Linked DNA regions of Drosophila melanogaster. The protein of the gene in region 1 interacts with the protein of each later gene in a pairwise test. Each region holds a gene or a part of one and is shown in the gene's direction. Other genes may lie near its edges.

Region 1 (9,044 bases):
TAGTTGGGGTTAGCCTGGTCAGCTTCCCTGGTGACGTTGATGGTGGGCATTATCACTGGTTTTATGCCGCCCGTGCATGATACGCTTTTCCTTATCGCCGCCATCGCTTGATTTATATCAGCCGTAAATATAATTGCAATATGGTATTCAAATGTGAGGCGTGACATGAGTGCGTGCCCATCGATCGATGGCAATGGCGATGACGATGTGTCCACCACTGGTACTAGCGCACTTCCTTGCCGTACGGTTGCTTCGGCTGCTGGCCAAGCACACACCCAGTGCCCAGGTATTTCCGATCCCGTGCCAGATCCTCTTCCCTGCGAGCAGCTCGCTCGGCAGCCGTGTGCGTCATGTACTGCTGGTGCCAATCGCGATTGTGAATCTGGAGCAATGAGAAGGGGTTGGGTTGTTGGCATTGTGACTAAGAGGAAAGGCAGTTGGAGGCGGGCATGCAAACTCACCCTGGCGCAACGCTTCTCCATGAGCTCCTCGTAAATCTGGCGGTCTTCGAGGATGTTGTAGCCCACATCCTCACGGATATTGGCCTGTGCTTGCCGAGCGCTGATGGTAAGATTCCATTTGATCTGATCCTGCAAGTCAATGAGCTGCTGGCGCCGTTTATCCTTGAGCTTCTTCAGATCTTCTTGTTTCTTGAGCACATCCATTTCGGCAGCCAGTTCCAGGCTATGAAAGGTAGTTGATTGGATTACCAACATAATCCATTCGATTAGTATATTAACTAACTGAATCTCTAGGGAACCTGGTACTCACGCCTGGGAACATTCCCGTTGGTCTGCCAACACCTCCTTGGCGAACTGGGCCTTCTGCTCCCGATCAGTGTCTAGATTGTGGGCTTGGCACCTGTTCTCAATCAAGTTGCGCAGTTTCAGCTCATGCTGCTCCTGCTGGGCCTTACTTTCGTCCAATCTCTGCCAGACGCGCTGCCAAAGAATCTCCACACAGGCCTGGCGGCGTTTGAGCGCCTTTTTCTCCTCGATTTGATGGAGTTGGGCTTGCTTGGACTCCAGCAGGATCTCCTTGGTTAGCATGTGACGATGGGCCTCGGAGTTCTCACTGAAAGTGAGGTGATTTCAGATGGAAAAGGACTTAAAATTCTACACTCAAAACCTACATCTCCCTTTGCTGCTTCTTTACTTTGACCAGCTCCATTTCGGCCTCCTCCCGCTTCAATCGCTCCATTTCGATCCATTCGTGTCGCTTTCGATCCGCTTCATCCGCCTGCGCCTGCAGCATCTCTGCAATCTGCTCATCCGCCTCCAAGGCTTCCTTTTGGAGAAGAAGACAGAGGTTCCAACGACGGTTGTCCAAATCCGCGTGCCATTCGTGCATCTTTTGCGCCACCTGGAAACTTATTTGAGATTTTAGATTGCGCCTATCGGTTCGTGTGAGGAATTCCACAACATCCATTTTTTTGAGCTTCTTTATTCTAATTGTACTTAATTATGTGAACTTTTGATTGTTTTCTGGTATCTAAGCACCGCACAATTCAAAAATTCCCATGACAACTATTTGTGAGTTAATTTTATAAATTTTTAAGCAATAAAATATTTGCAATAACTATTTCTCAAATAATAGATTTTATTTTTCGAAATTTAAATAATTAAATATTTAATTAAAACTAGATATGACCCAACATCCAATAAATTCATAATTTATTAGTTTAACATAGTAAATGTAGTAGTAAAATACCGGCAAACCTTTGATTTAAGTTATTTCAAGAACATTTGTCATATTTGCCAATTAATATTGAAAGCTTAAAAACATTTTTTAAGTGAAATTTAAAAGAAAACGTTTTGGCGCAAAACCAAACGTAAAATACTAAATAGTTGGGAAAATGCAAATTGTGGTATTATTGGCACACGCACCATCTGGCAACTTTGCGACCAGATGTTTCCGGATGGCCTTTGAACAGGCGTAAATTGTATCCAAATTGGCAGCAAACCCTTGGAAAGCAAGCAATGAAACCGTGTACAGACAGGAGAAGGGGGCACTGAAGGTCGAGGCAACGCAGGAATCGAGGGATATCGCCAGCAAATTGCCAGAAATTGAAGGTAACGAACCCGAAGCACCCTGTGCCGGAGTTTGTGACGCAGTTACACAACTAAATTCTTAGTAGGCGCCCAAAGTCGGGGCAACAACAAGCTGCTAGCTGAATCAACGTGTGCCAGCTAATTGGTGCCAATCACACTGCACTCTGGAGCTCTAAAACCGTAAGAGACCCCCGTTCTTGGACCCCCTCGCAAAGGTACGTCCATCGATTCGGCGATCTATTTTTAGCCGGAAACATGCGATTGCTATTGATGATTATCGGTTTATTTTTCAGATCAGGGACACGGCGGCTTTCACTTTCGAACACATCGGCGAGTTCATTGGTCCACCTTCAACATGGTCGTGGCAGCATCCACCTGCCGCACGGAGACGGTCTTCGATTACAGCTGGATGAACGTGGTGGTCGCCTACTGGAACCGCTACCCGAATCCCTCAAGCACGCACGTCCTCACCGAGGACACTATTCAGCGGGAGGTGCGCGATGGCAAGCTCTTCTCGCGCCGGCTGCTCTCCAAGACGAATCCGGTGCCGAAGTGGGGAGCTCGCTTCTACAACAATGTGCCGGTCAAGATTGTTGAGGACTCCGTGCTGGACCCGGTTAAAAAGACATTCACCACTTTCACCAGGAACCTGGGAATGACCAAGATAATGGCAAGTGATCGCACACCTACTACGATTGCTTTAAATAGGTCACATATCAATTTAAAGAAATGTCTAGAAGAATTCAGCCACTAGCTGTTGGGCATGACCGAAATACCGGCATAATACAAAAGCATAAGTGTTACCTAACAGATCGATGGTCAATGCTGTGGCATTGTTTGTTATATTTAACCCATGAAACGCATACAGAACATCGGGATCCGGTTAAGATTATTGTTCGATTTATTTTACTGCACCCTTTTAGTGAATATGTGAAATATGTTACTTAATCTTTTCAAGTTTAATTTAATCCTAATTAATGATCATTGTTTTTTCCTTTTAGAAAGTCGATGAAATTGTCGTCTACAGCGAGCAGAAGGATGGTAGTACTCTGGCGGTGCGAAGAGCATACATTAGTTCGCAGGTGTTCGGATTCTCGCGGGCCATTCGCGCCTTCGGCATCGAACGGTTTAAGGCCAATGGCAACAAGGCCTCCAATGGATTCAACTACGTGCTGCGGCGCATGTTTCCGGACAGTTTGGTTGGTGGAGGACATCACCAGCACGCGGTGACGACGACTTCGCCAGCTGGAGAACTTCCTGCAACGACCATCACCGTATCCACAACAAACGGCAGTCTCAACAACCAAGGAGCTCTCAAGAGCGCCGCAAAAGTGGGCTACGAGTTCTTCAAGAGTCATGCCTCCAAGATTGCGCAACTGTTTTCTGTCAAGAACTGAGGAACTTCTAGTCTGTACTTTTTGGAATAGATGTCGAATGGGACCGAAGATTTTAATGCTTTCGGCTCCGGGAGTTAAGGAGTTTGTGGATTTGACCAGGACGGAATTAGAATGACGAGCGGAGGAGTCGTGTCGCCGGGTGTTTTTAAACATTTATTCCAAAGCAAATCCAACTACATACTTTGCTGCATTTCATTCCGTGTGTGCGCGAATCAAACGGCTGATCTGAACGGAGACACAATTTGCTGAACACATTTCCTGCATGCTACCAAATTCTATTATTTATCGTTACTTATTTGCACTACATTATTATGTATCATTCTGTTAGGTCAAGAGCAGGAAATGAAAAGCCGTGTCAAAATTGGTATTGCTATGTAATATGTTGTATATTTTTATCAAAATATAAGAAAACCAACACTTGTAGTGGTTAAAAGTGTAGTTATTAAAATAAACTTAGTCTGTTAGAAATGTACGGCTGTTTCTTTGAACTGGGTCTAGTCATAAAAGAATTTATGTTTACAGAATTTATAATATTTATATTATACAATTTATGTAATATTTATAATATCTATTCATTTTTTTATTATTTTATTTTATTGTTATGGGCGGTTAATTTTTTAGTAAAGCTTGTTTATAATGAATTGTTAATATTAATCGGTTTTTAATGCGTACTATTTGATTCATTTGTATATATTTTTCAATTGGTTTTAAATTATTTCTCTGCAAATATTCGTTATAACCAAGGCTGCCATATTTTATACAGAAGTCAGCTGGCCCGGTGCTACCGGATCCGTGACGCAATTCCGTTGGTTTCCAACACTGCGGCTCTCCCACGCAAAAGCGCTCGCAGCTTTTAGGTAAAATCGGCGTTCTTTCGAACATTGGAGAATCCAGAGCCACCTGGAGTCGCATTCTTAATCCGAATTCCCAACCGTTCGCGTCAAAGTCGCGCAAAAACAAATAACTGCGAGTATAGTTAATCGCACGAAGAACTGCAGCTGAAATCGCGAGACAAAAGTGCACAAAAGACACAGCGAAGCAAATACCGTACAAATCGGCTGCGTTTATGGCGCACCAGGAGAAGAGAAAGAATTTGCGCCCCGCCGCCCCCGCCTTTCAACACAAAAACAACAACAACGTGGAGCAGAGCTAACACAAAAAAGATATATAGAATAAAATATATATTTTTGGTACCGCTTTTGTATGGTTAAAACTAATCAGAACGCTCCATTGATTTATTGAGCGCACACTGCCAGAGTTTTCGAGTTTTTCAAGACGTTGCCAGCTGTTGTTGCCGCTCTTCGTCGCACACCTCCCGCCAACCAGAACACCTCCGCCCCGCCTCCTTGCTTCGAAGAAAGCGAGAGCGCGGTCAACGTCCTGCGAAGAGAGTGAGAAGGGTAGCGAGAGCGCGATAAAAGCGAAGGTGAGCGAAAGGACACCGGCAGCCGCTTCATCTTCCTCTTCCCTCTCACCGCAATTCAACAATAATATAAAGCTGGTCTAAAAGTGGCAAACAAAGTTGTTGAAGATAAAGACACAGCGAAAGCAACCGGCAAACGTAATCAGCACCCAAATCCCCCGCGAACCAGAAAAATATAGCCAACATGCGCCTGTTTCCAGTCCGATTCTCAGCCGCCTCCTCGTCGATGGCGAGTTTGGCCAAAATGCTCGACTTTTACTCGGGCTTCAACCCCTCGCCCCTCTCGATAAAGCAGTTCATGGACTTTGGTGAGTAACTGGGCCTCAGTTTCTTGAACCCAAGGTGTTCCATACATCTATAACATATATATTTCAACGATCTTATCTAAGTGCTATTGAGTAATCGTACATGTTGATTTGGGTGAGGATCGGATTGATATTATAGAGATTGCCTAGTGAACGTGTTTCTATGGAAAGTTTGACACTCACTTTGTTTTGATTTGCCTCCAAAAGCGATTAAAACACTTGAGTTGTTCGCTTCGAAAATGGATTAAAATTTTAATTGTTTACGATAGATTTTTAATATATTTCTCTAAAGTGTATGTTATGTTATATATGTTTTGGGAAATATTAACTCACTTTTTACTTCCCTTTGTTTTCTATTATTCGTCATCTGTGTTGCATAACGAGATGACATAGAAAAGCTATAATAGGCAGACCTTTTATGTAGAGAGCAACATTTTCATGTTGTCTAAAGTTTCGTTTATAGTTTAGAATAAACTGCGCAAATATCCCGTTATCTAATAGTCAATTTCGTTCCATTGAATTGTCAATTAAGCATTTCCATCTACATCTATTATTTTGTCGACTGTGCGCTAGACAGAGAGGCAGACACAACCAGGCAGTATAAACAATTGAATGCTCAGTTCAATTCAGCTTAGCTTTGACTTTTCCTCGACCCAACCCCTCCTCCCCTTGCCATCTATTTCCATTTCAATCCGCTTCCCAGCCAACCGCCTGTTGCAAAAACGGAAGTCAGAATAGCTCAACTTGTTTATGAGAAGGCCGTGTTTTAGAATTCATAAACAAGTTTCGTCAATGAAAATGAAACACGAGAATGGGCGCGAGCAAGGCGCCTTTTTTCCGCCCACACTTCATTGAGCGCCAATAGCCGGCACGTGGCCTTCAATGACGTTTCAATGTCAACCAAACACCCCCTACAGACCACCCTCCAAAATCCACGGCTTCAACCTGCCCCAATAAAAGAACACGCAACTCTCCAATTCGAGTGGCTTCTGTCCCCAGAGAAGTCAAACTGTGTTTGCAGTGTATATTCTAAAAGTTGTATTATATCTTGATAAAAGTAAACGGCAGCAGATGCCTTTAGATACTGTTTCCACATAACCTTTTCATTTCAGACCTGCTCTAGTCGAAAATCAATTTTTTGCTGTGCAACCAGCAGACTCGAGTGCTAACTTCTAGGGCATTCTCGTTGAAAAACTGGCATGCGACGTGAGCAGAAATAAAAGCCAGGCCAAGTAGCTCGGCTGGAAGAGGAGGAAAATGTGAAAAAGGTTGGCCTCCGGAGGCTGAGCTATTATCATCTAAATTTAGACCAAAACAACAGGCTTTGCTTGCGCGTGTTTTCTATCCCTTTAAGACCACTTGTGCTGAGCTTTTTCCTGTTTTGTTTTTTTTTTTTAGTCAGTCTGGTATGGGCTACAAAATGGGCTAAATTAGTTTACAAGCATTTATGGCCATCCAATAGGCCAGCACCCCTCGGTGAAGGGGTATAAATAAATAGCTAATATATACCTGCCTATACTTGAACTTTGATGTCGGTCTGTAGATAAGGCTGCTTTGTGCGCTTGTTTTGTACCCAACTGTACCCGGCACTTAATTGTGTTTTTCTGCCGTTTGTGGGGGTCCATAAACTTGGAGTAATTATGCTTATATCTATAGAATATGGCTTGTTATTGGTTCGGTGTTATATATGCGCATACATTGTTATTATAATGCACCCGAGTTTATGATAATTCAGGTTAACCATCGATTAGCGCTTCGTGGACTGAGTGAGTGGGGTGTAAGAACTGGAAAGAGGGTTCTAAAATTCGCGCCTCAGTGACGAGCCTCGTTTTTTATACAGACTAGTCTTTAATATTTTTCGGCTATATTGTTTATGCGAAATTCACAATATCCGAAGGCCAAGAATTTATATCAATAGAAAATATATAATACTTATGGCATATATAGGGTGTCCAATTTGGAACCTCATCATGGTTGATCATGTGCCAATTCTCCGGGCGACAAAGAGCCACAATTATATCTGTGGCAATGCGGGGTTAGGAAAATTGAAAACACAGCGTCAGACAATTCAAAAGTATATTGTATAATGGATGCATTTCGATGGATCAGACCACCGTGACCATTTCGGGCAAAGTCCAGGATGCTGTCACCTCATTTCGCCCACAATTCGGGCCTGAACTTTGGAACTGCTTGCGGAAAAAAAGGCAGAAACGCGCACGTCAACACTTGGTCAAAATAAAAACAGAAACAGAATGGCCAGAAGAAGAGTGAGCACCCCGGCGATAATAATAATAAAGACGTAGTCGTAGTCACACGCGCCGTATTTTTGTATTTCTGTCACAGGGCGAATGTGAGTCAAATATACATACGAAAGTATTCGAAAGACTTTCACACAAATTCTTCCTCGCATTTGGGGGCCAATGGGTGGGGTGGGCTAATGCAGCTCAAGAGTCAAATTGCTGTGCTCCGCGAATCGACCGAACAGCTGTTTTACAAAAAAGGGGATGGTCATGGTTTGGAGGAGGGGCCAGCTGTGTGACGTCAGTTGGTCTAAAGATAGATGCATATGTGATATTCCACCCATTCTAATGTAATTGCATGAGGGGGTCACTGAGTGGACGATTGAGTCGTTTTCAGAAATTGGATTTCTTTGCGCCTTTGCTCAGCTGATTGCGTGCCAAATGCGTTGTAAATTATTGAATGCAACATTAACGACCCAATTAGCCTGTATCGCCAATTGAGTGGCTCACACTGATAATGGGAATGGAATTGAAACCGCAGCTCATTGTCGATTCTGAGCTCCGGTAATGAATTCGTGCGGTGGCCAGTTTTCAATTTCACTGCTAGAACACGCAACAGTTTTTCGCCTACTAGCAGCTAAGTTCTTGTTACATAACACCCATTGAATACTTTAGATCATCGTTTTTTTTTTTTTTTTCGAAACCTGTTGGGGCACACAAATTTGTTAATAGCTTGGCTAATACACAGCACGTAGTTATTAACTATTCAATGCTATTGATTATTAATAAAATAATAACTGAATGGCACAAAATCAAAATGAAATATGAAGAGTGCTTACTTAGCACACTTCTAATCTTTAATCCTCTTAAACTAACTTCCTTTTTTTATAGCGGGCAATTATCTAAGTGCATAAAAGGCACTTATGATTAGGACACTTAACGCCACTGCGAATTTATCGCCGATGAAAGCGAGGGTGCGCCTTATCATTATCAGCCAAGAGCAATGCATCAAAGTCTAAATACATATTGTGGAGTGCCAGACGCTTCTACATGACTGACGATCCGATCGAGTCTGGAGGTTTCTTTGCTCTGTTTACCACCCGACACTACAGTCAAAACAAGTGAATACACTGAGCGAGAGAGATAGGGCGTAGAGCGGTTCCAAAATGGCAAACAAGTAAACAAAAACAAAGCGATAAAAGCTCTGTTTTGAGGTCACCTGCGCCGCCCCAGCGTTTGGGGGGCGGAGCGGGCAGAACGAAGCGCGTGTGTGTTGGGGCGATTGCCGCACCCCCCTCCCCCTTTCGAGCACATTTTGATAGCTGTATCTCGGAGCGGAGATCTCTCGCGTTTGCGATCGCTTTCTGGCATGTTCTTGAAAACAATATCATCAGGCTATCGCCTCTCTTTCCGAATTTATGTTCGTCTTTATAACTCGTTTTATTGATTCTGTTTTGTTTGGCCAATTCGTTACAATTGACTCATAAAGCGGTTCCAGTCCAATTTATTCGGCATAGCCACGTCTAGTATACATATATGTATATCTAGTTGCTTTTTGCGTTGTATCTGGAATCCTAATTTAGCCTGGCGAATTGTGGCCATTAGATTTTGGCGACGAGCAATCGAAG
Region 2 (9,127 bases), on another chromosome or scaffold:
ATGGTATTTCAGCGGATTTGTATGACATATAGTATAAATCTATATGGTCTATCAGTAGTATTATATTTCATTCGAAATGTATTCATCTTGGCCTGCTTATTGCACAGAGATTCAAGGAATTCGCATTCATGGCTCATTTTGATTTATAAGAACGCAACAGAAAGTAAACAAATCAGGGTAGTGGGCATCGCACTATATAGCCAAATATATAGCGCAGCCTCTGGCTTCTTTCTTTATTTCGCGATCACGCTTTGATCAGGTGCTCTAGGTCAGTTACGGCATGCTGATCACTCTGCGGCGTTCTGTCTTCTGTCGCGTTCCAAAAATAAACCAGTTCTAAATTTATGATTTAAGTTTATGCTGCGCAGTTTATCAGCACTTTCGGGTGCTGATCTCTCCCTGCTGGTCCTGACTTTTGTCTGCATTGATAAGGCGAAAGAATCGTACGTGAGTCGCGCGCCTTCTTCAATCTAAATTTAAATCACCGCCAGAGGGATTTTGAAACTATGCGGTATACTATATAATATGCTATCAGGTGGCCTACACAAAAACTGATAACCAAGCGCCAATGGCTAATAATGTGGTTCGACTGATATGGATTGTCGGCCAGTTTCATCAGCCGTTTTGCACGTTTTTTAGCGGTGGGCCCACGACGCGTGTCTCTATGTTTAATTAATAATTATGCTTTGAGTCAGTCTGAGTTGCCTGACTTAATTTTTTTTATTGCTGTGCGAGTTGTCTAGACATTGGGTACCTTTCCACTTTGGGCGTGTGAATCTGGCGAGCTACTTGTATGTTTTCTTTTGGATCAGGCTCACGCAGCTGGTGAATGATTTGGCATGCTGGAAATAAACAAAATTTCCGTTTTTCTATTGAAGCGTTTTAAAAAATTGAATTTTGAAAATATGAAAACATAACGTGTGGAAATTTTTTATAGTCCCATAGAATAAATAGCCCCATAGAAGGGCAAGTTAATTATTGAATACATCAAATAATGATAATGATTTTAATAATAGTTAAAATCATGTTAACCATATAATTAACAAGATTCAGCAACATGGGGACACACCTTAATCGAGTGAAAAATGGAAAGTCGCTCGCATAAATTGAAAAATGTCCCCAACGACATCCGTTGAAACCGAGGAAACTATAAGTACAACCGCATCCCCAAGATACATGCATGAGAAAATATGAAAATCTGCACAGAAATAGACAAGACATATTTATGTAAAAAGCGTGTGCCACTAAATTTGCCAGCGGGTGCAAACAAAGAAGGGGGTAAAATGCAATTTCAAGTGCAACCGAAGAGAGAAATCTTGCTGAATAATAGCATATAAGAGCAAAAAAAGAGAGTTGTGTAATTAGGAAGCCTGAATGCACCCTGAAAAAAGGTATAGGGCATTCCTGACGACAAGGAAGTAGAAAATGGGTGCCAATGTAAGTGAAACCTATCTATTCAATGGTTTAATCACCATCACGATATATCTTAATTTTTCACAAATCTAAATGAAAAGCTCTTCATTGAGATAAAATTCCCAGTCTCCATAACGTACATATACTACGCCCCTGTGCCATCTCATCTGGTCTATGCCGATAAAAATGACCGGCAACTGCAACGAGGCACTCAAGTAACCACTTCTGTATGCACGCAGGGATCTCTCGAAACCGGCTTTCAACTAGGCAAGCAACTTAGCCGGCCGGCTCTTTTGCCCCTAACCCCTTTCGAAACCCCTTTGTCCGCAGAAACCCCCTTCATCAGCGAGGTTCAATGGGATGCTGCGTTGGCAGTCGAAGAAGAAATGAAGAAAGTGCGCATTCAAAGTACGTTTTTGTTTAACAGTCGTTGAGGCTCTTGAGAGACAAAAAGCGTGATCTCTTCAGAGAGTTGCATTATCATGGGCTTCGAGATGTGATTTCAAATCAGGCATTACGAAAACATTTCCCTGATCAAAAAAGAAAAAGACTCGAATGTCCATGCCTATGCACCGAACCGCCATGAGTGAATGTACACCGAGCACGCACACCAAAAATAGAGCATAGATAAAACTCAAATACATATACAGTCTCTATATAAAGGAGGCCCAACCACAATTTCGAGTTCCGAATAGTCGAGCCTGAGACTGCATTTTTGAGCAGACTTGGTTGCATTCAGCGGTTTCCGCTTGTCTGGGACAGTTTTGATGTGGGTACGACAGATATCATGTGGGTCGAAACTGGCCTGAACTCTACATGCATAGATTGGAAAAGAAAAAGCGACGAGGAAAATCAATTTCAATGCTTCATTAGTTGAGTATTTGAAATTTTGAGCCTCTTACGCAGGTTTAGGTGTTGATTTCTATTTTAATAATGGCCTTACGCGCGAGTTTTATGGGATTGATGAGGAATTTTAAGCTATAATCACTAATGACTTGGACTATTTTTAATACGAATGCATTTATAATCAGCTGATAACTTATCAAAGCAGATAAAGTACTTTTTGAGACATAGACTTAGGTTTTATAGTATTTATTATTTATAAAAAATTTCAATTAATATAGTTGCATATTTTCCTTTTTTATTACCAAAATCGATTAAATTCGAAGAGCTTTTTATAAGTTCAGCAATGAAAATAGACTAAAAGTGTCTCATTCACGAGACCCTAATGGAAGGCCTAATTGATTTACATATGTCAGGGGAGCACCCTCACATAAAAGAAATGCGTGGGCAGACACATAAAACCAAAACCCACTCACAAATGAGTCGAGTGGTGAATAATGTCCCATATTCAATTGAGTGCGGAAGAGGCCCTTATAAATCTGTGTGTGAAATATCTTTTATAATAAAAAACAATTTAACTAATAATACCAATTCTAGTTCGTAAGGCTATAAATATTGAACTGAACAGACCAGAGGCTATAACCTATCGACTTCGATAAGATAAATATTTAAAAAGCTGAGACGGAAAAAGTGTTTGCCAAACTCCTTGAAATTCACTTGAGCGCCACGAGGCTCAGTGGGAAATTTGATTTTGGGAGATGGGATGCTTCCCGTGCATGTGATCATGTCTCGAGGGGCTGACACCCGTTTTGACTTTTGTCACCGCCAGTGGCGCCAAAACTAATCAAAGCAACTAGGACCGACGCTAAATCGAAACCACAACTACAATCACTGCGGAATACCAAAATGCAATCAAAATATGCAAGCCACGTCGATCAGGAGAGAGAGAGAGAGTGAGAGAGAGACCGGGGCTATTCTAGAAACCTAACGCGAGTTCAGAACGCTGAATTATGTATACCCTTTAAAGTACTAACAGAGCAGAAAACTTAACTGTTTTATGTGGTCGTTCATTAGTAGTAAAAATGGGATGATTTTATTTTATTCTGCTTTACTGTTATTTCTGTTTTCTGTTTTTATATACTGGCCTCTTGAATATATAACATTCTGATAACATTACAAACGCTCCACTAACATGTCTATATGTCTTGGAAGGGAATTCAAACAACCAATCTCTCTCTTTTTCTTTTTCTCTCTCTCTCTTTTTCTGTCGCCCCGATCAAGTCTTAACGGCAAGTTGCAGCAACAAACATTTTCATTCGTTTTCGCATCGTCGAAGCGTACGGTTCATAGGAGGAACGGAACGAAGCGGGGAACGCGACGGAAACTAGTTGCTGTTTTTTTGTCCGTGTTAAATAATTGACACAAGAAAATTTAGCTACACTTAAGCAAAGTCCGCGAAAAATCTATTAAAAATCGTTCGTCGTTTTGTGTGTGTGACCACGAAAAAAGTGCCCCGATCGGAGGATTTTAATAAATTCAATTAAGGTTCCGTCCCAACGATCGTTTTTCATTGTCTGACGCTCACGCGTGATGTACAAATGAAAAAGTAAAAATTTAAATAAGATCAAAGAAAGAAAGATCACAGTAAAATTTAAAGTGGATTGACTGCACAAGAAAAAGAAAAGTTCCTTACCTCCTAGCCAGAAGTCAAAAGTGAAGCGGAAAACAGAGTGGAGATAACAATTAACGGTTAGTTGTAAAGCTAAAACTACACAATAAACATATCATGAAAAACTTTATAAAACATAAGAAGGGGGGCATTTTATTATTTTGGGTATCAGCATTTACATCACCTTGTTTCGAATCAAACTGATTTTAACATGCATTTGGACCAAACTAACAACGTTTCGAATGTTATCTCTTATGGAAATGGTATTGCTATATTATACCATCATTAATTCCGATTCCACCTGAGATTAGCAATTAATATGAAATTTCATAAACATATATTATATATTCGGATCATGCATTCTATTTACACATTACTTTCCAATTAAACGTTCATTTATTGCCGCGCTTCGATTAGCAACAAAAACAAATCGTTAATTTTCTATATTTTTCCACAGGGGCTTCCATACCAAAGTTCCTTGTTTGTAGAGATCATTGTAATCAGCGCAGATCGAAGCCATATATAAAATGATTTCGCACAGTCCGCCCATATTCAGTCACAGTCCACCCGTTAGTTTTCTGGCGGACTTCATGAGCGGACATCCCCGTCAATCGTTGAAGTAAGTTTACAAAAGTATATAACTCATAAATAAATATAGCCAGCAATTGGACTAATTTAACACAGAATTGCTCTAAGTGAATCCACGAGTTTCGGCAGCCAATCAAAACAAATTAAATAGCCAAACATCATTGAAAGAGTACCAATTCTCAGGTTTTTTCATGTCGAAAGAAAATATTTTTTTAACTTTCTTATCGATTGATAAGGAACTAGAAGCATTTTCTGATGCATCATCTTTTATGAATTTAACAAGTGGTGTACGTGTTAATAAGAGAAACGATATAAATGTCTGATAACCTGAAAAACCATGTGATAGTAAATGAATTAAACTGAGAGATAAAAAATACATAACAGATAAAAATGATTAATACCCTTTTGCATTAGGCGTTCTCTCTGGCGAATATTTAAACAATAATTTTAAACATTCAAATTTAAAACAAATTTCAAAATACCCAAACATAACCCACATTAACAAAATAAACAGACCGGAATGCCGTAATTCCATTTAATGAATATAAGAACTCAGTTGTTTACACAATCCAGAAAAGGAATATTATCGATCTCTCGAGGGCTGCCCATATTGATTCACATGAAACACCTGTTTCAAGTGTCGTCTATGGAAATTTTAACACCTGATCAAAGGCAGGAAACATGTCTTACCCAATACATAGTATTAAAACCTGAGAACTATTCGAAAACACAATGAATGCAGGTACTAAAAATATTCGTGCTAAGGCTCGTTTTTGGTTGACAACAACAGATTGGCAAAATATGAAAAGCAAGCATTCAAGATCAAGGCAAGACAGAATACTGAACCAAAACAAACATTTCGCCGATTCTGAGGTGATCTTTCGCTGGTGGAGCCAACTGAGATTTGAAGATTCGTTCACGAGTCGTGGGGGTGACGCCAAAAATTTGCTTGGCGACAATTTGCGCGTGGCGCTTGACGCAACTTTTTTTCTCAGGGGCACACGAGCAAGCCGAAAATTTGACAAATTGGTAAAGGGAAGAAGGGTAATATCTATATATTATATTTATACAGAGGCGAGAGCAATTGATTGAATTAAAGCAATTTGCCGTGCTTCATTTGCTGCACGCGCTGCATTTTCATCATATTTGTTGAGAGTATTTTATTTTTGGGAATGATAAATATACAATACCGAAAATTCGTATAACTTATATTCGTATATATGAGGACTTCAGCTAAAAATAAATCTATATCTAGAGTATGGCCAAGCAAAACAAACGCTACAAGAACCGGTAAAAAACTAAATAATCAGTTAAGATTAAAGAGGTTCAGTAGATAAAACTGTGGGAGGTAATACATGCGAAAGCCCTACTGCGATCCCTACAACTATGAACATTTCTTATCGGGGCACGTGAGCGGCATGCCTTCAAACAAACCGAGTACTCCAACCAACTCAAGTAACTCAGCTGCTAATGCGTCAACTCACTTGAAATTTCACAGCGTGATTTTACAACAGTTTACCCCACCCAATACCTAGAACTACCCACGTAACTGGGCGGGTCGTCATCGAAAATGATTGAATTCTTTTGGTTGCCAACTCAAGCACTAAATATGCTGATATTGTCTCCAGACAGCGCCAATTAGCCAAAAAAAGTTGATGATAACAGCAGAGCAGACGGAAATGTTCCCATAGCCAGGCCCACGCCGAAAAAGACGTATCAGCATGCCGTCAACATATGTTTAGCATGCAAAAGTCCACGCGAACCCCATTGAACGATCCTTATCAACCATTGACTTTTAGTTTTATGAATGTCTAGCCGAAAAATTATGATAACTACAAATGGGATGTGAACTGTGCCAAATGAGTAAGACCAGCGAGTCTCTCCGACTATACAATTTTAGAAATGACTCACTGAAGAACCCAAACAAATATGCTTCATATTCATACTATACATTTCCCACCCACGGCAAACCCGAATTAAGTGAGGAGGTCGCGCGCAACTCCTCTTATCAGCGATGTTTCTTTATAGACAATATACACGTATCAGTAGGACTACACAAGTACAAGTACAAATACAAGTAGTACATGGGCCTCCGAACAATGAAGGCAGGCATTGAGGCAGTAAAAATTAAAGCCACCACTCTTATCAGGACTGATAAAAGGCAGCTTAATGCGTAGATGCTTGAAATAAAAGACTGATCTTGGGAATTTCTTTTCTGCTTTCCAAACGAAAAAAGAATCACAAAAAATGGTCAAAACAATTGAAAGATGGCTACCATCTGCTGATGTTTAAATATAGAAATTATATTTTCAATTAGTGGTGTTAGAGATATATATTTTAACTGATTGTGATATATTCAACCTTCGATATTCAACCTTTTGATTTTTTGAACGAATTCAACACTCATTTAAAAGGACAGAATAGTAACGAAATTAAGTTATGAAATAAATATTAAATAAATTTATTTTAAGAAACATTTTTATAGTTATTAATTTAAGTTTTGAAATACAAAAATAAACCAATTAAACTTGCATACCTTGTTTCAGCTACAATGACGAGCCCAACAGAGCGTCGCGCTACTGCCGGCCCCAAGTGATAACGCTGGCCTCCAAAGCCATGGTCAACAACGCCTCGGCGGCGGTCCAGGGTCAGGGTCCCAGTCAGCAGAAGGCGGGTGCCACGCCCCTGGGCGTGGGCAGTCGTTCCGGACGGAGTTACCTGGAGCGAATGGCCTCGGCGCCGCTACTCACCAATCAGCCCAAATCCTGTCTCAGCCGCAAATCCTGCCTGCACAAATCCCAGAACACTACAGCCAGTTCCGCAGATCTCTCGCCGACGGACACCGATGTCGCGGACAGTGCCAGTCATAGCTGTATCTGCAGCAAGGATAGTGACAGCAACGGCGAAGTGAGGTGAGTGTGCGGGCGATAAGATTACGTAATGTAGGTAACTCGATACAGCGGCGCCGAAACGATCAAGAAGGCTGTAAATGCCGGCGGACTCAGTCACTTTGACGTCAGGCCTTCAAAGATTATGGCGCCGCACTTATTAAACCACCAACTGAACTAGATGGGAACTTAGTGGTGTGAGAGCCTGGGTAATTGTGGTCAGAATTGGGTGTATCAACCTATAACAGATTCATTAAATAGTAAGATGTCAATTGAGGGGAAATCTTAAGGAAAGTCCGAGAAAGTAACACAAGAAGCTGTAGATGGTTTTCATAGCGCATCTTAACTATGTAGACTGTGGTCAAAAAGAAATCGAAAGCTTATGATTCAAACTTAAATCTTTGAATTTTAATATGGGGAGGATAGGATTTTGGTTCTAAAAATTGGAACGTGAAAAGATCATTTCTTATAAAACTGCGAAAATACCACTTCCGCCATAATATTTTATAAACAAAGATTAATCGTTTATAAGACATTTGCAATAGTTCTAGTAAAAGGAATAAGAAAATCTGTTGGCAGTCGAACAACTTTCCCACAGACGTCATAGCCGAGCACATGTCATTTATTAAATAAGCTGAGAAAGCCAATTGCAGACGGCCGCCAGGCTAAACAAATGCAAAAAGATCATGAAATATACTTGAAAATATATTTTATATATTTTTAAGAGCATGCAATTTCACAAAAACAAAATATAAATTATCTAAATGACTGTAGAAATAAGCCAAAATAAAAACACGCCACTGCATCGCGAGTCGAGAATCTGTATCTCGTATATCTGAGATAAAAAATCTCACATTTTAAGACTCAAATGGGAATAGACTGGTATTTAGTATAGACCCCAACAGCGAGGCGCCATTATTTTCGTTTTCCATTTCCATTTATTCGCTATATATAGGGAAGATACATTATCGATTCATGTGCAGGCCATGAAAATATTTGGGTTATCGATGTCTCGCAGATATTTTGTAAAATTGTATACATATGTATATTTCGCTTTCAACGAGCCCTAGAAATAATTTCCTTTTTGCACTTGAATCTGACATTTTGAGAAATGCCTAAAAATACATATGCCACGAGATAGAGAAAATAATTTATACGTTCATTTGCGTCAAATGCGAACACTATTTCTATTTGGGCTGCGTCTCTAGACAAGAGATCAGGCTTAAAGCTACGCAGCTACTCAAACGAATGCAATTAACCATAATATTATCAATGTAAACCAGACGTGTGCTTGTTGCTGTTGGAGATTTTGTGTACACTTTGCGGTTGCGTATTTTGTATGCCTCGTTTTATCAGTTACGAAATCCACTGGGAAAAAATTAATTTACCAATTCAAATCTTCAGAGTAAATTATAATTCATTTAAGTTAACACAAGAACGTAAAGCAATGCAATAGAAAAATTATTAAGAATTATATTTATTGGAGGCTTGATTTAAGAATTGAAGACCTTATTCATCACCTTCCAAAGCATATCGCATCTGCTCGTCACCCATTTGGCCCCACATTTTACAATGAGTTTTGACAGCCAATGAAAGATCTTTCTTTTGTCTTAATTAGCCTCCCCAAAAATCATCAAGATCAACCACAAAACGAGGCAGACGGTTCACGTCAAGGCCGAAGAATTATTAGCATAGAAGCGTGATCAAGCGAAAGGCGTCATCTCAT
Region 3 (7,969 bases), on another chromosome or scaffold:
AATGCAAATTTTCCGACTGACTAATAGGGGGAGGGGAAAGTGGGAATGCCAGGTAGCATGCCGCCCAATTTGTGTTTTTTTTTTTGCGCATCGTAAAAGTGCCCAGATCCAAACCGCACTCAAAGAAATTATGTGAAAACAAAACTGCCGTGTTAGGGAAAATGCGCAGGAAAAAAGGGGGGAAAAGTGGGAAATGGCGAAAATGCGAAGGGAAAAAGGCCAAAAGGCATCACGCACGTATGGCATGTGGGGTTTGGGTGGTTAAATCATAAAAGAAAGGCGCGATGCCAGCGACGCGAATGAGCAAACAGCCTTAATAAAAATTTCATTTCCTTAATCAAATGCATTATCAAATTACAAAAACAATGGCAAAATCCTTGGAGATCCTGGGCGTGGCGGCATAAAAGAAAATTTCGCTCTGCGGCTCCTGCGGTTGCTGGGCTGGAAAAAGTGAGACGAAAAAAGGGATACAACTTCCACCTGCCCGATGACAACCGACAACGCATATCCTCGATATCCTTTCCACTGCCACTGTGAAAAGCTCAGCCCATTTAAGTCGAGCAGATAGCGCCAAAGTGTGGGCCCAGATATACTTGGCTTATGCGTATCAGCAGATTTAGACCAGATAATTCACGGAATTTAAGAAGAGCACAGCGATTTAAGTTAAGCGCCAGTTTAAGATTTACTATTTTATTTATTTGTGTATTTATTTTTTAGTTTTTATTTATATATAAGCGAAATCAGAAGCTTACTCCTACTTCTCTCTTAAATAACTTTTCTTCTGAAGATTCAAGTACCGTTTGTGTTTAATTCTAGAGCTTTAGCATTTAATCTATAATAATATAAATTTAGTATCTTGCAAATAGCTTCTATGTAACTCAGTACTTATGGTTTAGGAACAACAACAAATTTCTCTACATCTGGTCTGTGCACTTTGGCCAACTTAGGCTTAGATTGTGTGAAATTCTTAGTTGCGGCTGCTCGGGAACCACCCGTTGTTACCACCACCCACTTAGTAGCCCCGCCGAGGCTTTGAATTTATAAGTGCACTCCCCACAGTTCCGGCAATGTTCTCCTATTTTCCTCACTTTTCCAGGCGATGGATAATGGCGAGGGGTCGGTGTAGTGGCGGTGGTGGTGGGGGGGGGGGTAGATTCCAAGCTGGTGCTCGTTCAGCCAACCAATAAACACGACGCTTATTTCGTTATAAGCTAAAAAGTCAATGATTGCATTTGCATTCTGTTAGATTTCTGCATCGAAATTATGCCAACGTCTGGCTCGACGGCCAGCACCTCAACCAGCGTTCGCCAATTGCGTACACTGAAACAAAACGAGAATTTTATTTATTATTATTATTATTATTAATACGTCAAAGTAGGTATCGTTAGACTTAATACATTATTTAATATGAATAATAAAGTTAATTTTATTTTATGTAACCTACAAAGTATGTTAATTTATACTTTACATTGCATTGATATTAAATTTCATAGATGTTTTATGTACATATATATTATTATATAACTTCATATAACTTTCTTAAGAAAGTGAATTTCTTTGGCTTGCTTTCATTAAATATATCAAATTATCGAAGTAATATTACAAAATTAATTCAAAGAATCTTTCATCTTCCCTTAATATCCTTTTATCGTATTTTTTATCCAAGTGTTTTTGGCCGTCTGTTTAGCCTGTTGTTGCCGGAAAAAGGGCAGTGGGTGGTGTTGGGTGGTGGGTGGTGCTGTCACTTTCTGGATGTCGGAGGATGTTCTATGTTGGGTGGGTGGTTGATTGCAGTTCAGCTCGGCAGCTTGGCAGCCTCGGCAAGTGCAAAGGCCTTTTGCGTGGCAAGGAAATTAGAAATGGAAATTATTATCGTAATTCGTAATGTTGCTGCAATTGCAGTTGTTGTTGTTTTGTTGTTGTTGTTGTTGCTGTTGTTGTTGCTGTCCGTTGTTGTTGCTGTTGTTGTTGTCTGTTGCTGTTGCTGTCATGTAATTACACAGCACCCAAACAACCCGAAGAGCGTTGATTGTCGTTATTAGAAGTAGTTTGCTGCTGCTCTTCTGCTTGGCTCCACTCTTGTTTTTGTTGCCCCAGCGAATCGTGCTTCGTCGTTCTGCCGCCGGATACCAGCCAGCCCCGCATCCCCTCTTCACCCCTTCGACATCCTTTCGACCCCCAATTCGATGGAAATTTATGTGGCGGAAGCACCCCAACCCTCACGCCTGAAAATACTGAATGTGGTGCAAAATTCGACTACCAAGGAGACTAACTTGTCGTTAGAAGTCGGCAAATAGTTGTTCTAAAGGGAAAGTTCTCAAGGGTGAACTGAAGTCGCAAACACTACTTTTTATTTGCAATTCAATTTAAAGACATTGCGAAAATGTAAAGCAAGTTGTATCAATATTAAGAATATTATAATAAATATCTAATAAACAGAAATAACATTGTTTCTTTAAAACTATAACACTAGAAGAAATACAATCATTCAATGAAGAAATGTTCTTTTATTGAATATTTCTAAAATATATTCCTAAATATTTTATAATAATTAAATAAAAGTATATATTAGAATGGCCAATTAAACGAGCCAATATACATTATCAAACTAATAATCGAAGAATTAGTATTATTGGAAGGTAAGAAGGTAAAAATAAAACTAAGTCCTGTTTTGGTTCTAGATAGTTCAATACTTTTGAATGATAACTTCAAGGGCCTAATCACTTCACTGCGGTTCATTGGCCCCGGATATGGACTATTTAATATTACCAAGGGTACTTGCCCCATAGTCATTGCTGCAGAAGGGGTTAATAGTCGACCAGGGACAATGACATTGCGTTGGAGGTGGAACCAAAAGCTGGCAGGACGAGGCCTAAATATATGTATATAGGCAAGGAGTGCAAACTTCAGCCAATCGATAAAAGTAGCTGCATATGCAATCGAGAGGGCCCGAAAACAGGGCCAAGCATTTCCGCTATCTATGTAAAGCAACGGATTCGAAGAGTGAGTGGAAGAGGAAGTGGGCGGGGCCATTGAGGGGCTGCGTATCCTGGTGCAGCAAAGTTTGCCTATCGTTTCCGCTTCGTCCTGAAACGAAAGTGTTGTCTACGATTTCCAGCACTTGCTTAAGAAACTTAAAAACGAAACGGGAAGGAGAAATAAAATAAATTTAATTGCCTACCTTGTTGATGTTGTTGTTGTTGTTGTTGAACCTGCTTGTCCTCTCGACTTAACCTGTTTTCCTGCCATTTTCTGACGCCAGCGAAATGGAAAATGATTTTACAACGGCCAACTGCCGAAAAGAACATGGAAAAGAATAAATTAATTCGTATTTGGCCGAAGCAATCGCCCCCGTTTTCCCAGACTTTATCTTTTGGTTTTCATTTCCAAGCGGATGCCGTCTAATTGATTCAATTTGTATTCATTTTACATGTTACCCACGATCTGGATTCGTAATTAATGAAAATCCAAAATTCTTATAAAAAATCATTTACATTTATATGATAAAATTGGGAAAGTGGAAAAGCTGTGAGATTGCAGGGCAAAAAAAATAATACTCAATCAATTCCGAGGTTTTGAGGCTATACCTTATCAAGTGTGCAATATTTAATCAAACTCCTGATTAGATTATTGTAAAGCAATGAGTAACACCAGGAGATATTCGATTATTATAGAAAAAAAACCTAAATGAACCTTTCAGTTCGCTTTTTCCTACCAACCAATGCGGTCTACATATTTTCTATCGCTATGAATTCAAGAAGTAAAAGCGCTATATTGCATTTAAGTTCAGATGACACAGAATCATTTTCGAAGGTATAAATAGTATTTCTTTTTGAAGAACATTAATTTTAGCATTTATCTTTTTAGGCGAATTATTGTGACTGCAACGATTTCGATGAACCGAAAATGAACTTAAAAATGGTACTTGAAAATAAGCTAAGAGACATGGAATTTAAATTGGCAATTGCCAACGAAAAGTTGGCCATATTTGACGATAAAATTAAGGACAAAAACGAGATAATTGAGGCCTTAAAAATGTCTAACAACCTTTATAAATCAGATTATAAGGATAGATTTGATGCTCAGGCAAGCATAATTGAAAAACTAGAGGAGGAATTGTCAACCTTAAGAAAAGCGAAGTTAAACTCTAGCCAAGATCTTGAGACAACCAAAAATAAATCAAAGTTAAGATCAACAATTTTTTTTTTTAAAGAAAGCGAAAAGGAAAAAAAGTTACTTATTTCTTCCCTCGAAGCGCAGATTAAAGAGAAGGCTAAAACGGAAATAGAAAACTCACAACTTATTAAGTCCTTAAAGTCTCAGATAGGCGACAATGATGTAAAGCTAAAGGACAAACAAGATCTTATAGCAACACTCGAAGCTCGTTTGAAAGAAAGCGATAGTAAAAATATTGAAAACGAACATATGATCCAATCTCTAAGCGTTAAAATGTGTAGGATAATTTCTGAAGAGAAAGAATATAAATCTCTTATAGCAACCCTCAAAAATCAGATAGGCCAAAAAAGCGAAACACTGGAAAAAAATAAAGGGATAATAACTTCACTCAAGGCTCAAATAAAGGAGAAAGATAAAATAAATGGTGAAAACTCAAAAGTTATAGCAAATCATAAGGCACAGATTAAAGAAAAAGATGACCAAATCACATATTTGGAATTGGGTCTAAATTTGGAAACTTGTAAAACGCGGGAAAAGGATGAGCTATTAAACGATCAAGCTGCTACCATAATGAAACTGCAATCTAATCAGGAGAGAGTGAAAGAAACCCATAAACTTATACCATCAGAGGGTCAACAAATTTCCAACGCTTTGTAAACAAATTTATTTAATAAAACATATATACTTTTATATCGCAAAGAAGAATGTTGTACATTTCAGCTTTATGTCAGCAAGGGGACGCCATCATGCGGGAATTTCAATGACGACGGTGCTGCCACCCTCGTGAAAAAAGGTCCTTTAAACCGCTATTCCCAAATACGTTTAAATATTTCCCCATTATTCAATTTACTATAAAAAATTCAACGGTCGTTGATTTTTTCGGGAAGTCCCCTATTTTTATATTGCTAATCTGTAGTGCAAATACTTCATCAATAAATGGTTATCTTACAATTAGATAATGGTAATAGTAACAATAAAAAAATGTGAGCTGTATTATCTAGCCTTTGATACAAAAGACAAGGTGTTCCAGAGAATTTGCTTTTTATTACATTTGACAGCTTATCATTCAAGATAACCGAATAACCAAAATAAACCTTTTTTCGTTTGCGGTTAGTCAGTGAGAATTAGCTGTTCGAGGGAATGGCTAGCGCCAAATTTGAAACGATGATGGAATATTTTGGTTTAGAAGAAAAAACAACGATTTTTAACTTAAATCCTTACTGTTTATATGAAATATTTCGTCAAATTCACAAAAACTGCGCATTCAAGCAAACCAATGATATATTTTTAAAGTACAGTGATCTTATAAACTTTGCTATTTGCTGTGATCATCTCAACAGAACGTTCAAAAAATGGAGTCTCAATCTTTATAAGGAGCTGTGTATTGAAAACACATTCCTCAATACGTACATATGCGTAGAGATTAATTTCTCAAATCTTCATTCGCACATTTATGGATTGTCGAACAGTGAAAAGAAAATGTTCTGGATGAATTTCAAAAATCACATTATGGATAACGAACAACTGGAGTCATTAAAGGTAATTTACGAACCAACACGTTACTGGAGTGATTACTTGGAAAGATTTGAGGACCTCATAAAATCGCTTCATGTCAAGCCAAAACTGAGGGAGCTCTCTGTTTACATAAATGGTAGATAAAAATTTTTTAAATTTAAATTTAAAAAAAAGAATAACTAATCAATAAATCAATGCTTTTAGGATTCAGCCTTGAGATCGTGCCGCAGATCACTCATCTAGAAAAACTAGAGCTGAATGTCCGAATGCATTCCAGTATCCTGGTCGAGCTGTGTAAACTGAATCCAAACCTACGAAGACTCATTCTAAGGAATTCCGAAATATTTGGCAGATTATCGGATATAGTACCTCATTGCAATCAACTGGAATATCTGAGCTTTGTGATGAAAGAGGTAGATGCATCCGAGTACGTAGCCCTGGCCAATTTGCCGCAACTTAAGTCATTAATTCTGTGTGGCGAGCATCTCGAGGGATCGCTTGTGAAGCTTTTTAATCGCTTCCAAGAACACCAGCACATCCAGAGCATATGTATCCCGGAAACATATGTCAGCAATGCAGAGGCCATCGCCTTGGCATCCATTCGCTTAGTGGTTTCAATTAAGTGCTGTTTGCGGGATAAATCGATCTATTCGGACTTGCCGTTAAGCGGAAAACTTACTCATATCTACATTCTGGGTCACCCCATGCAATATAATCCAGACAATCCGTATTACAATGAAAAGGAGGAGGATTTTCTCAAAGTGACTTATAGGGCACATAGACCGTTAGCCGTCGTGCGTGCATATTATCAATATTGGCAGACCAAAGATCCAAATCTATTGCAATTGGCCTTCGATGAAGATTATTTGCATGCACATCGTCTCTATTGCATAGGCTGGTATGATGCCAAGATTTTACCAGCTACAATGCACAATTCATCAGAACAATTCTCGGTCTCTATCACCGGAATTGTGCTCAATAAAAAGGTATCGATTTCCGATGCAGAACTTGCCGTACTGGCTTCCATACCCACGCTTACCACCATTCGATGTTCATTTGTTCAAATAGAGCAAATAATCGCGGTTAAACTCCAGCAACTTAATGAGATTACAAATACCGCAAATCGAGTGGATAAAATTAAAACCGAATTTTGCAATATTCGTTTCGTTCATAGCCACGAATCTGTGACGCTCGTACTGGAATTCTTTGTACAGTGCATCCTGAGTTATGGGAGTATCCTTGCTCCTCTTGCCAATTTAAGAAATTTGAAACGTCTGGAGATAAAGGGAAAACTTATGAGCGGATCATTGGTGGAGCTCTTTAGGGCTTTGGCCGCCTTGGATAAACACACACTGCAGCAACTAGAAACTGCATTCCTTGACCCAGAGGAACTCGAAGAGGTGGTAAAGATACAAAGCTTGAGGATACTTAAAAGTGGTTTCTTCTGCTCAAAATATATAAATGAACTTGGCAACTTGGAGCAATTGGAGGAGCTTACACTTATCGTTCATCCGCAGGGATCTCTGATAGAGTTGTTCGCTGTCCTGGAATCCAAGCAGCCTCAAGTACTCAAAAGACTCGTTATTCAGAATGCAAAACTTACTAAACAAGAAGTTGGCCACCTTGCTGGCATAAGATCCTTGGAAAGCCTTCAGCTCGGTCTGCCCGAAGTAAAATATTGGGAACAGCAACTAAAAGATACAAAAAATCAGGCATTCGTAAACTATTGTCAAAAGTGTCTGCTGGCCCCGGTTTCATTCACATATGAGAACCAAACTCATCAAACTGACATTCATACATTGATAACTGCGACAGATGAAGATCCCTTGGATGCTCAGTTTAATTTTTTAACGCAATCGTATGGCACATTGACTCCCACGAACTTGGCACTCTTGGCCAATTTGCCGAACTTAAAGGAATTAAAAATTTATTTTAATTACAATACACTAGATGCGGTGAACTTATTGAACACTATAGCCTTGCAGTATCCTCAAAAGGTAAGAACACTTGCATTTGCATCTCAGGACTTTAGGTTGGTGTCGCTGTTCAAGGACTTGCAATCCTTCGAATGCGTTTTTAGCCATATAAAAGATATCGAGTATATATCTCAGCTCAGAAATCTGACAGACTTGCAAATCGATAATCCTCTTGGTATATCCCTGTGGCAGCTTCTTAAGGAACTGAAAGTTTTAGGTAATCTTCAATCCTTAATTCTGGATAATTCGAATCTGGAATTTTTAGAGCTTGTTGAAGTAACAAAACTTAGTTGGCTAAAACG

Evidence for each region.
Region 2: the proteins of Pdk (region 1) and Gbs-70E interact in a two-hybrid assay, tested with the Drosophila melanogaster proteins (one large-scale study listed by BioGRID).
Region 3: the proteins of Pdk (region 1) and CG10943 interact in a two-hybrid assay, tested with the Drosophila melanogaster proteins (one large-scale study listed by BioGRID).

Annotation. Positions count from the first base shown.
Region 1 is NT_033778.4:9,422,195-9,431,238, forward strand, and holds the start of Pdk (pyruvate dehydrogenase kinase), read left to right. Parts: upstream 1-4,244; 5' UTR 4,245-5,055; coding exon 5,056-5,179; intron 5,180-9,044. Other genes in the region: CG13955 (uncharacterized protein), read right to left, coding at 224-382, 462-684, 772-1,074, 1,133-1,428; prel (preli-like), read left to right, coding at 2,407-2,721, 3,053-3,448. UniProt on the Drosophila melanogaster protein: Inhibits the mitochondrial pyruvate dehydrogenase complex by phosphorylation of the E1 alpha subunit, thus contributing to the regulation of glucose metabolism.
Region 2 is NT_037436.4:14,545,415-14,554,541, reverse strand, and holds the start of Gbs-70E (glycogen binding subunit 70E), read left to right. Parts: upstream 1-3,566; 5' UTR 3,567-4,005; intron 4,006-4,382; 5' UTR 4,383-4,452; coding exon 4,453-4,544; intron 4,545-7,059; coding exon 7,060-7,425; intron 7,426-9,127.
Region 3 is NT_037436.4:12,858,656-12,866,624, reverse strand, and holds CG10943 (uncharacterized protein), read left to right. Parts: upstream 1-3,704; 5' UTR 3,705-3,813; intron 3,814-3,867; 5' UTR 3,868-3,906; coding exon 3,907-4,833; 3' UTR 4,834-4,908; downstream 4,909-7,969. Other genes in the region: CG32107 (uncharacterized protein), read left to right, coding at 5,341-5,827, 5,896-7,969.